Linked DNA regions of Xenopus tropicalis. The protein of the gene in region 1 purifies or fractionates together with the protein of each later gene. This does not show direct contact. Links are inferred from orthologs where the notes say so. Each region holds a gene or a part of one and is shown on either strand. Other genes may lie near its edges.

What was found.
Region 2: the proteins of smarca1 (region 1) and rbbp4 purify together in Homo sapiens (affinity purification with mass spectrometry; 5 studies listed by BioGRID and IntAct, with this or other methods). This does not show direct contact. The link is inferred for Xenopus tropicalis from reciprocal best matches to the Homo sapiens genes SMARCA1 and RBBP4.
Region 3: the proteins of smarca1 (region 1) and cecr2 purify together in Homo sapiens (affinity purification with mass spectrometry; 3 studies listed by BioGRID and IntAct, with this or other methods). This does not show direct contact. The link is inferred for Xenopus tropicalis from reciprocal best matches to the Homo sapiens genes SMARCA1 and CECR2.
Region 4: the proteins of smarca1 (region 1) and pole3 purify together in Homo sapiens (affinity purification with mass spectrometry; 3 studies listed by BioGRID and IntAct, with this or other methods). This does not show direct contact. The link is inferred for Xenopus tropicalis from reciprocal best matches to the Homo sapiens genes SMARCA1 and POLE3.

What each region holds. Positions count from the first base shown.
Region 1 is NC_030684.2:50,389,297-50,392,868, reverse strand, and holds part of smarca1 (probable global transcription activator SNF2L1), read left to right. Parts: intron 1-859; coding exon 860-1,072; intron 1,073-3,572.
Region 2 is NC_030678.2:90,302,054-90,304,930, forward strand, and holds part of rbbp4 (histone-binding protein RBBP4), read right to left. Parts: intron 1,447-2,877; coding exon 1,320-1,446; intron 424-1,319; coding exon 346-423; intron 53-345; coding exon 1-52. UniProt on the Homo sapiens protein: Core histone-binding subunit that may target chromatin assembly factors, chromatin remodeling factors and histone deacetylases to their histone substrates in a manner that is regulated by nucleosomal DNA.
Region 3 is NC_030679.2:8,775,256-8,779,521, reverse strand, and holds the start of cecr2 (cat eye syndrome critical region protein 2), read left to right. Parts: upstream 1-1,402; 5' UTR 1,403-1,541; coding exon 1,542-1,655; intron 1,656-4,266. UniProt on the Homo sapiens protein: Regulatory subunit of the ATP-dependent CERF-1 and CERF-5 ISWI chromatin remodeling complexes, which form ordered nucleosome arrays on chromatin and facilitate access to DNA during DNA-templated processes such as DNA replication, transcription, and repair.
Region 4 is NC_030684.2:2,374,100-2,376,858, forward strand, and holds the end of pole3 (DNA polymerase epsilon subunit 3), read left to right. Parts: intron 1-907; coding exon 908-1,026; intron 1,027-1,778; coding exon 1,779-1,951; 3' UTR 1,952-2,246; downstream 2,247-2,759. UniProt on the Homo sapiens protein: Accessory component of the DNA polymerase epsilon complex. Participates in DNA repair and in chromosomal DNA replication.

The DNA.
Region 1 (3,572 bases):
AATTTATATATATAGTAAATTCCATTTAGGTTTTTAACAAAATATTTGAAAAGATGCAAAAGACTGATACAGTAGTCATAACACAATAAGAAAGGATTGAGTACACGTTCTTAAAATGTACAGGGGCGCTAAGGGCTCTAACAGTAAATCTGCAGACAGAAGTTGCTTCTCTCGGGTTTATGTATAAAAAGTGCATAAACGCTATCTGAACTTCAAGAAATAAATATAAATCTATTGCAGTACATGTGTGTAATCCAACTCCTGTCCACCTATCACCTTGTCCCATTGTGAAGTGATGAATTCTGGGACTTGAACTCCTTTTGCTATCCATAGCGGGTGGTGCATGAATTCTCTGAAAAGTAGTGGGACTTCAAGTGCCAGAAGCAATCGCTTCACAATGGGATAAGGTGATGGAGGGGTTGGATCAGTCTGTAAGACTAAAGGCGGGGTAAGGAACTGGTCTGTAAAACACAAGTAGACGATCATGGTTTCCACTAAAACGGAGGAATTAAAAAACACATTTCTGTTTAAATCTGGAAGTTAAGATTTGTGTACCTTTTCTACATAAGCCCAATTGAATGAGCTTATGACAAAAAGGGGGGGGGGCCATATAAAGAAATATATTCCCTTTAAATTCTTCAAGCAGAACTGATAATTATTTTAGAGGGGAAGTACACACCCTTTTCAGCATGAGTTCATGTGCTAAACACACTTTTTCCTTAGTATTTTAGGGAAAGGCATTTGGCTCGGAACATTAAATATGTGTTTATAGTGATTTCTAGAAGGTAGGCTGGAGGTTTTCACTTTTTGGTGAATTAATGTGGGGATTAATAAGAATATTGTTCTTTGTTGTGTTTAGATTGCAAGGTACAAAGCTCCTTTTCATCAGCTGAGAATCCAGTACGGCACAAACAAAGGCAAAAACTATACAGAAGAAGAGGACAGGTTTCTCATATGCATGCTTCATAAAATGGGCTTTGATAAGGAAAATGTATACGAGGAATTACGTCAGTGCGTGCGAAATGCTCCTCAGTTTAGGTTTGATTGGTTTATCAAATCAAGGACTGCCATGGTAAGCATACTTCTATTTTAATTGCTTGATGTAAAGCTTCAGTTTCTGTTCATCATACTAATTGTAGTGAAGTGTCTTCCCCAGAAATCCTGCATAACTATGTACTTGTTTATAGATCCCCACTTATCTGGTAGTTTTGGACTAGCAAAATTCCAGATTATAAATAAAACACTGTTGTTACCCTACTTATAATATGAATTAGCTCTCTAAAACTATATCCCCAGAATGAATACTTAACCAACAGATAATTTGTATAATATTAAGTGGCCTGTTAAAGAGCATTACCACACTGGAATATGAATATGAATAGCAGTTAATATTTCCGTTCTTCTATTTTTACTTGAGCCACCGTTTTGTGATGGTCCGTGTTCTCCCTCAGAAGTCACCTGACAGGAAATAATGCACCTGTAACAGGAAGAAGCGTGGGAGCAAAAGACAGAACTTTAAATGAGCTCATGTGACCTAGCATGTATGTGTGTCCAGTAAATTGTATGCTCCCAGCGGGCAGCCCATAGTACTTAAAATCACAATTTTCTATTTAGGGCTACCCAAAGCACATACTACAGTACTAAAAAAGTATATTTTTATGAAAATGGTTTATTTAGCTGAAACAGTATTTTACATATGAGCTTATTTATGCAATATATTAATGTAGAGACCTACATTGTTCAGGGGAAGAGTTTTGCTTTAAAGCTTTTCCTCTAATTGCTGAACCTCATTATTTTTTATCTCAGTATCTGAGCATTCATATAATGATCATTTTTGACGTTAACCTTACAATTTTGAAATCAGAACCATAGAGCAACTCAATCAAATTTCTATGACTTTTCTATACTTAAATACATCTTTCCAGCACATAAACCCCAAAGCACTAACCGATGACAGGGCAAAAAGAAAAATGAGAGCGGGCCACAGCTATCACTTTATTTTTATTGTCAAAAATGTCTCAAAGTTTTCAGCTCTGTTTAGTAAGCAAATATAAATAAATGTCTCGCTTACAAGTGAAAAACTGCTGAAAGATTTAAACCTTGCCACTGAAATGTGTGCCTATTGGAAATAATATACAGAGGGAGAACATATTTTTTTGCTGTTTAAACAATAAGATTGCTGGAAACTTTTACCAAACTGCTCTATAGATTCCATGCAGATTCAAGTTTTGTAAATGTCAATGTTAATCAGGAGGAATGGAGGAATTAACCAGTGTTAATCAGATGGAGGAATACCATGTACTTATCAATAAATCTAGTGACTTGTTTGAAGGCCTTATGAGCATATAGTAAGAATAATAAATAGCTAATTTGCTTAGAAAATTTGATGGCAACCATATGATGTAATATTTTTTTATTATTTTATACACATTGCATTAACATTTAAGTGTACTGTGTACATTATAAGAAGAAAAACATAAATATAGTGTGCAGGTTTTGACCCATTTAACTACTCGATGCACTAAAATATCTCACAGTATGTGTTTAGTGTATTCTAATTAACTAAGGTTTATTGGGAATTGCAGAGTAGTAGCATTTTCTACACTGGCAGAACATTCTATATTAATATTAATCTCCATTTGCTCTAGAGGAATAAAGTTAATATGTAATATAAAGTTTTATTATAGCTTTCTTTGTCCTTTTCCATCTCACAGTGGGGATAGGAGAGTTGAAATAGGGTTATACAAACTATGAAACTTTATTTTGGCATTAATTGAACATAAGTGGGCTTAGTGCCTTCAATTCAATGTCAATTGGTGTAACTATAAAGGAAAAGGCCCCTCTAGGTCTGCTTCTGCTATGGCTGTAGAGAAATCCCCCCTCCTCGGGTGCTTTCCTACCTTAGAGCAAGCAGGGAGAGGGGGACATGACCAGATGGGGGGATGTGACCAGGCAAGTGTCATTGTGTATGTACTGGAAGGGAAGGGGCAGCTAAAATAAATAAGGGACATATTTGTTTCAGTTATAACAGGAAATAGGGGATAGAGGGGGTAAGTATTGAGGCATACTTTGCTTTAAAGGAGCAGTGTAAATAGAAAAAGAGGGGGTGTGTTTTTGTATATTAATTATAATTTAACACCCAGAAAACAGGAAGAAGCTGTAGTAAGAATGAATAAAATCCCTTTTCCTTTCTGTATCACAGAGAAGCCAGATTACAGTTTTACTTGAAGAGATCACATTCAAGCTTATATCCTGGAGAATGGCATTATGGGTAGTAATAATGTAGTTATAAGTAGCAATCTGCATAGTTGTCAGTTTAAGAAAAGGTTAGATGCCTTTTTAGCAGATAAGAAATACATTACTGCCCAGTTACATTAGGGAACGAGGAAGATTTTTCTGCAGCAGACTGAAAACTGCTTAAAAGATTCAGTTTTTTCACCTTCCTCTATCAGTAGAAGTTGAATAATAATAATAATAATAAGGCCAATAAAATGGTGGCAAACGTTTTACTCTTTTAATTTAGTCTACTAAGGTTTAATTTGCTGACCCCAGAAGAAAAATCAAGGAGGCCT
Region 2 (2,877 bases), on another chromosome or scaffold:
CAGTTCCACTGGATGCCAGGATGGTCTCATTATGTGGGGACCACTGGACCTGCTCAAAAAAAAAAAAATTATGAAATCTGTTATTTCTAGCTATTCTGCATTTCACAATATACATGTCAGGCTTACAATTTGTGCACATTATCTCAAAATAGTAACCCTTTATGAGAAGACAGCTACAGACTGTATTACGTCAGACCCAAGTCTTATAGGGTCAGATCAAAGTGACAAGTGGGGTTAAAGTCCTTTATACATACTTCCATTTTGCCTTCATTTGCCCTTAAAGCAGACAGTGTAAACCATTTTGTTCCCTAAAAGCTATGATAAAAAAAAAATTCAAGACAATACCTGGAAAATTTCATCTTTGTGAGATTCAAATGAATGCAACTTTAATTTCAGATTGCGTAGGTCCCATAATGCAACAGTCTGAGAGAAAGACGAGGGAAATATAGTGTAACGTTAGAAATCATTTGGTAGGAATAAAAAGGGCCCTTAAAAATCCAGATGCATCATGCAAAACACATTAGGCCAAACAAGAGCAAAATATATACACTTGAATTGCACAGACTACTTGTGATCCTATCTAAAAGTAGCTGTTTAAATCTGTCTACAGCATGAGGCTTAAAAAAGTACTCATACACACTAATTTCCAACAGCTTTCCACATTGCTTTGTAAAGTATGTATTACAACCGACCCTTGCTTTGAAAGCAGGCCACAGCAGGCCATGTGTTATTTTGTACGACAACCCCACAGTAGTTAGAAATACTACAATAAAGCTGGCCTGAATCGTGACCAGTAACGTAATCAAGTACACTTTTTTTTTTTACATTTAAAGTCTGTGCCCAAAAAATGTATTTGCAAGAAATGGAATATTTTAAATGGTTTTCATTCTACAGTTCATTTGGCTTGTGGCACTTGGGGGGCAGATTCTTAACCTCGGGAATAAGTGCAGGCCGAGAACCTGCCCCCTACACTCTAAATATATGGAAGCGGCTGTTCGAGCATGCAGTTTCGGGTTAAAATATTACGCAAAATATGGTACGAAACTGCATACGCAGTTGCTCTGAATTCCACTTTCATCTGCAGGCTTGGTATCCATCCCACGTGGCACTAGTCTATAAGAACCACATTCTTCCTGCTCAAGAAAAAAACCCACTGTATTCTACACAGCTATACAAACTTGCACCTTTTAACTTAAATGTCCTTTGAATGCATCCTAAAAACTAAATTTCTTTGGTACAAGGGACACGTGATACAGGATTCAGAACTTTACTAATACACAAAAAAAGTCAGTCAACATATGGTAAAATGTAATGTTTACCTTGTCAGCTGACCCAGTTGCCAATATGAACTCGCTGTAAGGGTTAAATGACAGACAGTTGACTTCAGCTGTGTGAGCATCCACAGAGTGGCTGGGCTTTGATGTGTTGTTTGATCGGGTGTCCCAGCTGTTAACAAAAATAGGACTATCACTCCAGTCTTAAGAAAGGCAATACAATAAGTTCCCTCTGAAGAGGCAATAAGCTTTAGCTGACGAAAGTTACTTTATAGTTTTGGTTACTGCTGGCTGGCTTGGGAGCTAAGGTGGAGGTAAAATGAAGGTATACATATGGTAATAGGCAAAGTTCCAGCCAAAATGACACTGGTGGGGGTTTGGGAGCAAAACTAAACTTCGTGCCTCTGCTTGTTTGGCACTTCAGCTAAAGCCAGAAAACAGCAAAATGGAAGTACACTTTTTCATAATTTTGAATTACATTTTTAATTTGTCAATAACTACAAACAAACAACAACAAACTACTAAACAAGTTTAAAAGTGCCTTTACAGCACTGAAATTCACCAGTACTGCACAGTCAGAAAGTTCCCAGTGAGTGCTTCATTTAATAATGATGCAAAATAATTACACAGAAGTAATATAAGCTTAACATACCATACTTATTTAAGGGTTTCCTCTTGACCCTTTATCACACTAAGGGGCCCATTCACGAAACCACAAATTTTTTTTTCCATATTTTTAGCTTTTAATATTAACTCCACTGGCTATTCTTTAATTTTGGTTCTCATCCACAATTATGAATAGACTTCTTCCTTCTCCACAGCATTAAATCTGCATAAAAAATGTCAATGATCTATTGCCTTTATTCATTTATTTATGCAGTGGCAGACTTCTACCTAATTTGAACGTGTGCGTAGAAAAAAATTTTTCCAAAATAATTCCAATAGAGAACTTAAAAATAACCCATGTGTACTATTTAACAACCAGAAACTGAGGTTTCATGAATGGGCCCCTAAGTGTTGATTTTTAGGACAAAAAAAATCCACCCAGTATGTGCAATGACAAGCAGATGCCGTTTCTATCACTGAATCAAGCCATTCCATTTTTCTCCACCAGCATAAAAAAAAAAACTTTACATTTACATTAATGTTATTCAGGAATTTGTCCAGTAAGTACATAAAGGATTCATAAATTAAATCCAGTTACTCTAAATGCAATTCAACTGCTTTAAAAGAGAACTAAACCCTAAAAATGAATATGGCTAAAAATGCCATATTTTATATACTGAACTTACTGCACCAGCCTAAAGTATCAGCATCTCAATAGCAACAATGATCCACAACTTCAAACTTGTCAGAGGAGCTCCCCATCTTGGAAAGGGTCTGCGACACCCACATGCTCTTTGTGATCTGGGCAGCTGAACTTAGGGGTTGTTGCAAATTATCAAGCAAAATATAAGGTCGTCATATAAGTGGATACCACAGGGCTGATTATTACATTCTGATACTAATTGCACTGGTTTTAAAGCTGCCATGTAGTAATTATTTGTATTAATTACTAATACATTATATATATTTATCAATTAATTATAATGCAGCATATATA
Region 3 (4,266 bases), on another chromosome or scaffold:
TATATGAGTGAATGAGTGTATATGAGTGAGTGAGTGTATATGAGTGAGTGAGGGAGTGAGTGTATATGAGTGAGTGAGTGTATATGAGTGAGTGTATATGAGTGAGGGAGTGAGTGTATATGAGTGAGTGAGTGTATATGAGTGAGTGTATATGAGTGAGTGTATATGAGTGAGTGTATATGAGTGAGTGTATATGAGTGAGTGAGTGTATATGAGTGAGTGTATATGAGTGAGTGAGTGTATATGAGTGAGTGAGTGAGTAAGTAGTGTGTATATGAGTGAGTGAGTGTATATGAGTGAGTGAGTGTATGAGTGAGTGAGTGTATATGAGTGAGTGAGTGTATATGAGTGAGTGAGTGTATATGAGTGAGTGAGTGTATATGAGTGAGTGAGTGTATATGAGTGAGTGAGTGAGTGAGTAAGTAGTGTGTATATGAGTGAGTGAGTGTATATGAGTGAGTGAGTGAGTGTATATGAGTGAGTGAGTGTATGAGTGAGTGAGTGTATATGAGTGAGTGAGTGAGTGTATATGAGTGAGTGAGTGAGTGTATATGAGTGAGTGAGTGAGTGTATATGAGTGAGTGAGTGTATATGAGTGAGTGAGTGAGTATGAGTGAGTGAGTGAGTAAGTAGTGTGTATATGAGTGAGTGAGTGTATATGAGTGAGTGAGTGAGTGTATATGAGTGAGTGTATATGAGTGAGTGAGTGTATATGAGTGAGTGAGTGAGTATGAGTGAGTGAGTGAGTGAGTAAGTAGTGTGTATATGAGTGAGTGAGTGAGTGGATATGAGTGAGGGAGTGAGTGTATATGAGTGAGGGAGTGAGTGAGTGAGTATGAGTGAGTGAGTAAGTAGTGTGTATATGAGTGAGTGAGTGAGTATGAGTGAGTGAGTGAGTAAGTAGTGTGTATATGAGTGAGTGAGTGTATATGAGTGAGTGAGTGAGTGTATATGAGTGAGTGAGTGAGTGTATATGAGTGAGTGAGTGTATATGAGTGAGTGAGTGAGTATGAGTGAGTGAGTGAGTAAGTAGTGTGTATATGAGTGAGTGAGTGAGTGGATATGAGTGAGGGAGTGAGTGTATATGAGTGAGGGAGTGAGTGAGTGAGTATGAGTGAGTGAGTGAGTGAGTAAGTAGTGTGTATATGAGTGAGTGAGTGAGTATGAGTGAGTGAGTGTATATGAGTGAGGGAGTGAGTGAGTATGAGTGAGTGAGTGAGTGTATATGAGTGAGGGAGTGAGTGAGTGAGTATGAGTGAGTGAGTGAGTAAGTAGTGTGTATATGAGTGAGTGAGTATGAGTGAGTGAGTGAGTGTATATGAGTGAGGGAGTGAGTGAGTGAGTGTATATGAGTGAGGGAGGGAGTGAGTGAGTGAGTGTATATGAGTGAGTAGTGTGCCCGGAGTGGGTTCCGAGTCCCTCCCCCAGTCTCCTCCCTCCCCAGCCCCCTCCCCCGCTCCATCTGCTCCCAGCCCGGCCGGGGATCACATTGTACCGGAGCTCCCCACACGCTGTAGCCGGGCTCGGGGTGCTGCCTCGGGATGCCCCCGGTCGGTGCCCTGGGGGAGCTCCGCTCTTGTTGGCGGGTCCCCGCCATCGCGCATTTCTGCTCCCTCTTCCGCACCGCCTTCCAGCTGCCGGACTTCGAGATAGAGGTGAGGGGCCGGGGGGCCCGGGGGCCTGGGGGCGGGAGCGGAGGCTACACCTGGGCCGGGGGCGGCGTTACGAGTTTGGGGCGATGGCGCTTTGAGTTTGGGGCTAAACTTGGGAGATAAGGGGGGGGGGTACCTGCTACTACTGAGCGGCAACTTTCCCTGGGACTGAGAGACTGCAGCCTGGGTATGGGGCACCCCTGTCTGATGGTATATCCCCAACACCCCCTGTCTGATGGTATATCCCCAGCACCCCCTGTCTGATGGTATATCCCCAGCACCCCTTGAGTAGCCTGAGGGCCGGGGCAATAGCTGCGTTATTCCAATAATTCGATTTCCCAATATTATTCTCTCAGTAATGTGCCCTCCCTACCTATTTGCTCATATATCTAAACTTCTTGGACCCCCAGAAGTCCTATTCTACCTTATTTGCCCTGCATATCCCCCCCCATAGTTCATTTAGATTTCTCTAACCCCCCCCCCCCCATAAGATAGTACGGTCTTATTTAGCTTTTAGCAGCATAACAGGGGTTAAATGTAGCCAGTGGGTTTGAGTGTAACTCATTGCTCATTGATGTGAAGGGTAAGTGCTTGCAGCAAGCCAGCTGTTGTTGCACTACAATTCCCAAGAGGATGCTGGGATTGGTAGTTCTACAACCCACACAGGGGCGTCTCTGCACTGACTACCAGTTTAATGGGAGACTTTATAGCCCTGTGGCACTGGAATATGGGAAACACAATGGGGCCAAACCCATTCGTTCTGCTGGTGTCTTGGGCGCCCAAGTGCTTGGATAGACTTATTTTTCTGGGAATTAAATAGAAATGGTTAAACTTTTCCTTGAGTACTTTGCCCGAGTTCTCTCCGTGCCGCAGGATTAGGGGGATATGCGATTAGTCAGTGAGAATTGCCATTAAATGCCCATAGGATTAACCCCGTATCCGTGTACCTGGGGCACGGCGACCGCTCTGTCTTTATTTCAATAGGGATATAAACCCAGAAATATATATTAAGCATTTTCCCAATACCCATCCATTCATTCTTCATTCTCACTGGGTTTATAGTTATGTGTAATTGTCACTGTGTCTGTCCCTTTCCCTTCCCTGCACTGCTGGTTCTGACTCCTGATACAACTCCCCAATATCCATTCATTCCTCATTCTCACTGGGTTTATAGTTATGTGTAACTGTCACTGTGTCTGTCCCTTTCCCTTCCCTGCACTGCTGGTTCTGACTCCTGATACAACTCCCCAATATCCATTCATTCCTCATTCTCACTGGGTTTATAGTTATGTGTAACTGTCACTGTACCTGTCCCTTTCCCTTCTCTGCACTGCTGGTTCTGACTCCTGATACAACTCCCCAATATCCATTCATCCCGCATTCTCACTGGGTTTATAGTTATGTGTAACTGTCACTGTACCTGTCCCTTTCCCTTCTCTGCACTGCTGGTTCTGACTCCTGATACAACTCCCCAATATCCATTCATCCCGCATTCTCACTGGGTTTATAGTTATGTGTAACTGTCACTGTGTCTGTCCCTCCCTTTCCCTTCCTTGCACTGCTGGTTCTGACTCCTGATACAACTCCCCAATATCCATTCATTCCTCATTCTCACTGGGTTTATAGTTATGTGTAACTGTCACTGTGTCTGTCCCTTTCCCTTCCCTGCACTGCTGGTTCTGACTCCTGATACAACTCCCCAATATCCATTCATTCCTCATTCTCACTGGGTTTATAGTTATGTGTAACTGTCACTGTGTCTGTCCCTTTCCCTTCCCTGCACTGCTGGTTCTGACTCCTGATACAACTTCCCCAATACCCATTCATTCCTCATTCTCCCTGGGTTTATATGTGTTACTCTCATTGCTGTCTGTCCACTGGTTCTGACTCTTGAAGCCATGTAGCAGAAATCTATTCTCCTTGTTTGTTAATCAGCTGCTTCTCCCGTATTGGGTTTACTTCCCCTTTACCGGAGGGTTACAGTAATCACTAGGCACCTCGTTGGTCTCTTGTACCTGAGCGCCAGGGTGCTGGATGATGTAACACCATGTAATTTGTTTTTTTTTTTTTTTTTTTTGTCCGCTGAACCTGTAACATCTGGAGTCGGATCCACGTTCAATGCAACAGAGAGAAAAGAAAAACTTAAATATAGGTCTTCCGAACCATAAATAGGATTGGTGGACAAAATAGAAAGAGTAAAGGGGACATTTCTAGAGGCACCCAAATTTTACCAGTGACAGGTTTATGGCATATGGGGTGCTTGTCTGGCGCTGCCACCCTGTTGGGGTGCTCCAGATACCAGAAAGGAGGTCCTTGTCCCATAGCGTTTAAACCTAAGTGGGTCGGCGACTTACAGACGGGTGTTCTAGATATAAGGTCTAGATAGATAGATATATAGTCCAGATAGATATAAAGTCCAGATATAAACTACTCTTTGGTTGCCAAAATCTGGTTGCTAAGGTCACTGACTTTAGCAACCAGCTTACATGTCAAGCTTTACTTTGTAGGGAAGCAGAATAGAGAGAGAAATCATTAAGCTTTGGGCACAGCCATCTGCGGCATATTTAAATGTTTTTTGTGAAGGTTTACGTGTGATTTCAAAGATAAAGTCCCC
Region 4 (2,759 bases), about 48 Mb from region 1:
TACAGAGAGGGAATGTTCTGGGCACACAATAAGCTGTACCTCCATACTGTACTGTCTAAGGGAAACACTATGGCACCCCCTACCCATATGTATAAATACAAATATACAGAGAGGGAATGTTCTGGGCACACAATAAGCTGTACCCCCATACTGTACTGTCTAAGGGAAACACTATGGCACCCCCTACCCATATGTATAAATACAAATATACAGAGAAGGAATGTTCTGGGCACACAATAAGCTGTACCCCCATACTGTAACTGTCTAAGGGAAACACTATGGCACCCCCCTACCCATATGTATAAATACAAATATACAGAGAGGGAATGTTCTGGGCACACAATAAGCTGTACCCCCATACTGTACTGTCTAAGGGAAACACTATGGCACCCCCTACCCATATGTATAAATACAAATATACAGAGAGGGAATGTTCTGGGCACACAATAAGCTGTACCCCCATCTGTACTGTCTAAGGGAACACTATGGCACCCCCTACCCATATGTATAAATACAAATATACAGAGAGGGAATGTTCTGGGCACACAATAAGCTGTACCCCCATACTGTACTGTCTAAGGGAAACACTATGGCACCCCCTACCCATATGTATAAATACAAATATACAGAGAAGGAATGTTCTGGGCACACAATAAGCTGTACCCCCATACTGTACTGTCTAAGGGAACACTATGGCACCCCCTACCCATATGTATAAATACAAATATACAGAGAGGGAATGTTCTGGGCACACAATAAGCTGTACCCCCATACTGTACTGTCTAAGGGAAACACTATGGCACCCCCTACCCATATGTATAAATACAAATATACAGAGAGGGAAGTGATGCCCCGGTAGATGTTACTCTCAGGCTTATAACTTGCTGTATTTTTCCATATGTTAAAGCGCCAACAACTTTGCCATGAAGGGGAAGCGGAAGACTCTAAACGCGACTGATGTTTTGGCTGCAATGGAAGAGATGGAATTCCAGCGCTTTCTGACACCCCTGAAAGAATCCTTGGAAGGTACCAGTCTCCTCCTTCTACTCCACCCTGCTCTGTACTCTTGGCAGGGAAGGTGTTAAGTTAGCAAATGGACCTGGACTGGCAATCTGTGGGTACTGGGAATGCCAGGGGGGCTGTAAGGTGCCACAGACAGTCACTATTTATTGGGCTGGGGGGGGGGCTGTTTGTGCCTCTGGGTACTGGGAATGCCAGGGGGGCTGTAAGGTGCCACAGACAGTCACTATTTATTGGGCTGGGGGGGGGCTGTTTGTGCCTCTGGGTACTGGGAATGCCAGGGGGGCTGTAAGGTGCCACAGACAGTCACTATTTATTGGGCTGGGGGGGCTGTTTGTGCCTCTGGGTACTGGGAATGCCAGGGGGGCTGTAAGGTGCCACAGACAGTCACTATTTATTGGGCTGGGGGGGGGGCTGTTTGTGCCTCTGGGTACTGGGAATGCCGGGGGGGCTGTAAGGTGCCACAGACAGTCACTATTTATTGGGCTGGGGGGGGGCTGTTTGTGCCTCTGGGTACTGGGAATGCCAGGGGGGCTGTAAGGTGCCACAGACAGTCACTATTTATTGGGCTGGGGGGGGGCTGTTTGTGGCTCTGGGTACTGGGAATGCCAGGGGGGCTGTAAGGTGCCACAGACAGTCACTATTTATTGGGCTGGGGGGGGGCTGTTTGTGGCTCTATGTGAGAATCCCACCTTATGTGTGTTTGTGTAACTGCCCCCAGCCGTGCATGTAATTGTTATCCCTTTACCCCCACCCAGTTTACAGGCAGGATCAGAAAGGCAAAAAAGAGGCCACGGAGCAGAAGAAAAAAGACAAGGAGAAAAAGGCCGACTCTGAGGATCAGGACAAGAGTCGTGAAGAGGAGAATGAGGATGAAGATGAGAAGATGGAGGAAGATGAAGTTGTGGAAGAGGAGGAAGTGGAGAACTGAGCGCAGGAGAGCATGATGGGACTGTGTGGCCCCTCGGGGGGACCTTGTTTTGTCGCGACACTGACTTCCTGATCAGTCAGGCTTTATGGTTGTAATCATTTACTGCATCGCTGCGCCACTCTTACCCTCCAACCAAGAGCTGTGGGCACTTATTCTCCGGGTTGCACCCAATGCCATTCTGTAGGGGCATCCCCATGGCAACCACGTGGCACAGCGGCAGTGCCCAGCGGGCAGCTTTATACACGGCCTTTGTAGATAACTGGGGAGTGTCATATTAAATGTTTCTTTTGTTACACACGCGGCCTTTGTCTGTGGCGCCTCCTGTGTGCTGACCCAGGCACCTGTAGGTGGGCGCCTCCTGGGTGCTGACCCGGGCACCTGTAGGTGTGCGCCTCCTGGGTACTGACCCGGGCGCCTCCTGGGTACTGACCCGGGCGCCTCCTGGGTACTGACCCGGGCGCCTCTAGGTGTGCGCCTCTTGGGTACTGACCCGGGCGCCTCTTGGGTACTGATCCGGGCGCCTCCTAGGTGGGTACTGACCCGGGCACCTGTAGGTGGGCGCCTCCGGAATCCTCTCTCTATTATAGTATTTAGCTGTTTCTTATGGAAATCCCCCCCGGGGTCAAGGGCAGAACCCCTTAATGTGCCCCCATTGGAGGCAGTTGTTGCCTTTGCATGTCGCTCTCTGCAGCCTAATGCGCACTGACAGTCGGGCATGGGAGCCTGGCACACAGGGGACATGTTATGGTAACAAATCCCCCCCCGGGGTGCCACGCCCACAAATGGCTTCAGTTAAACAGACCGGACA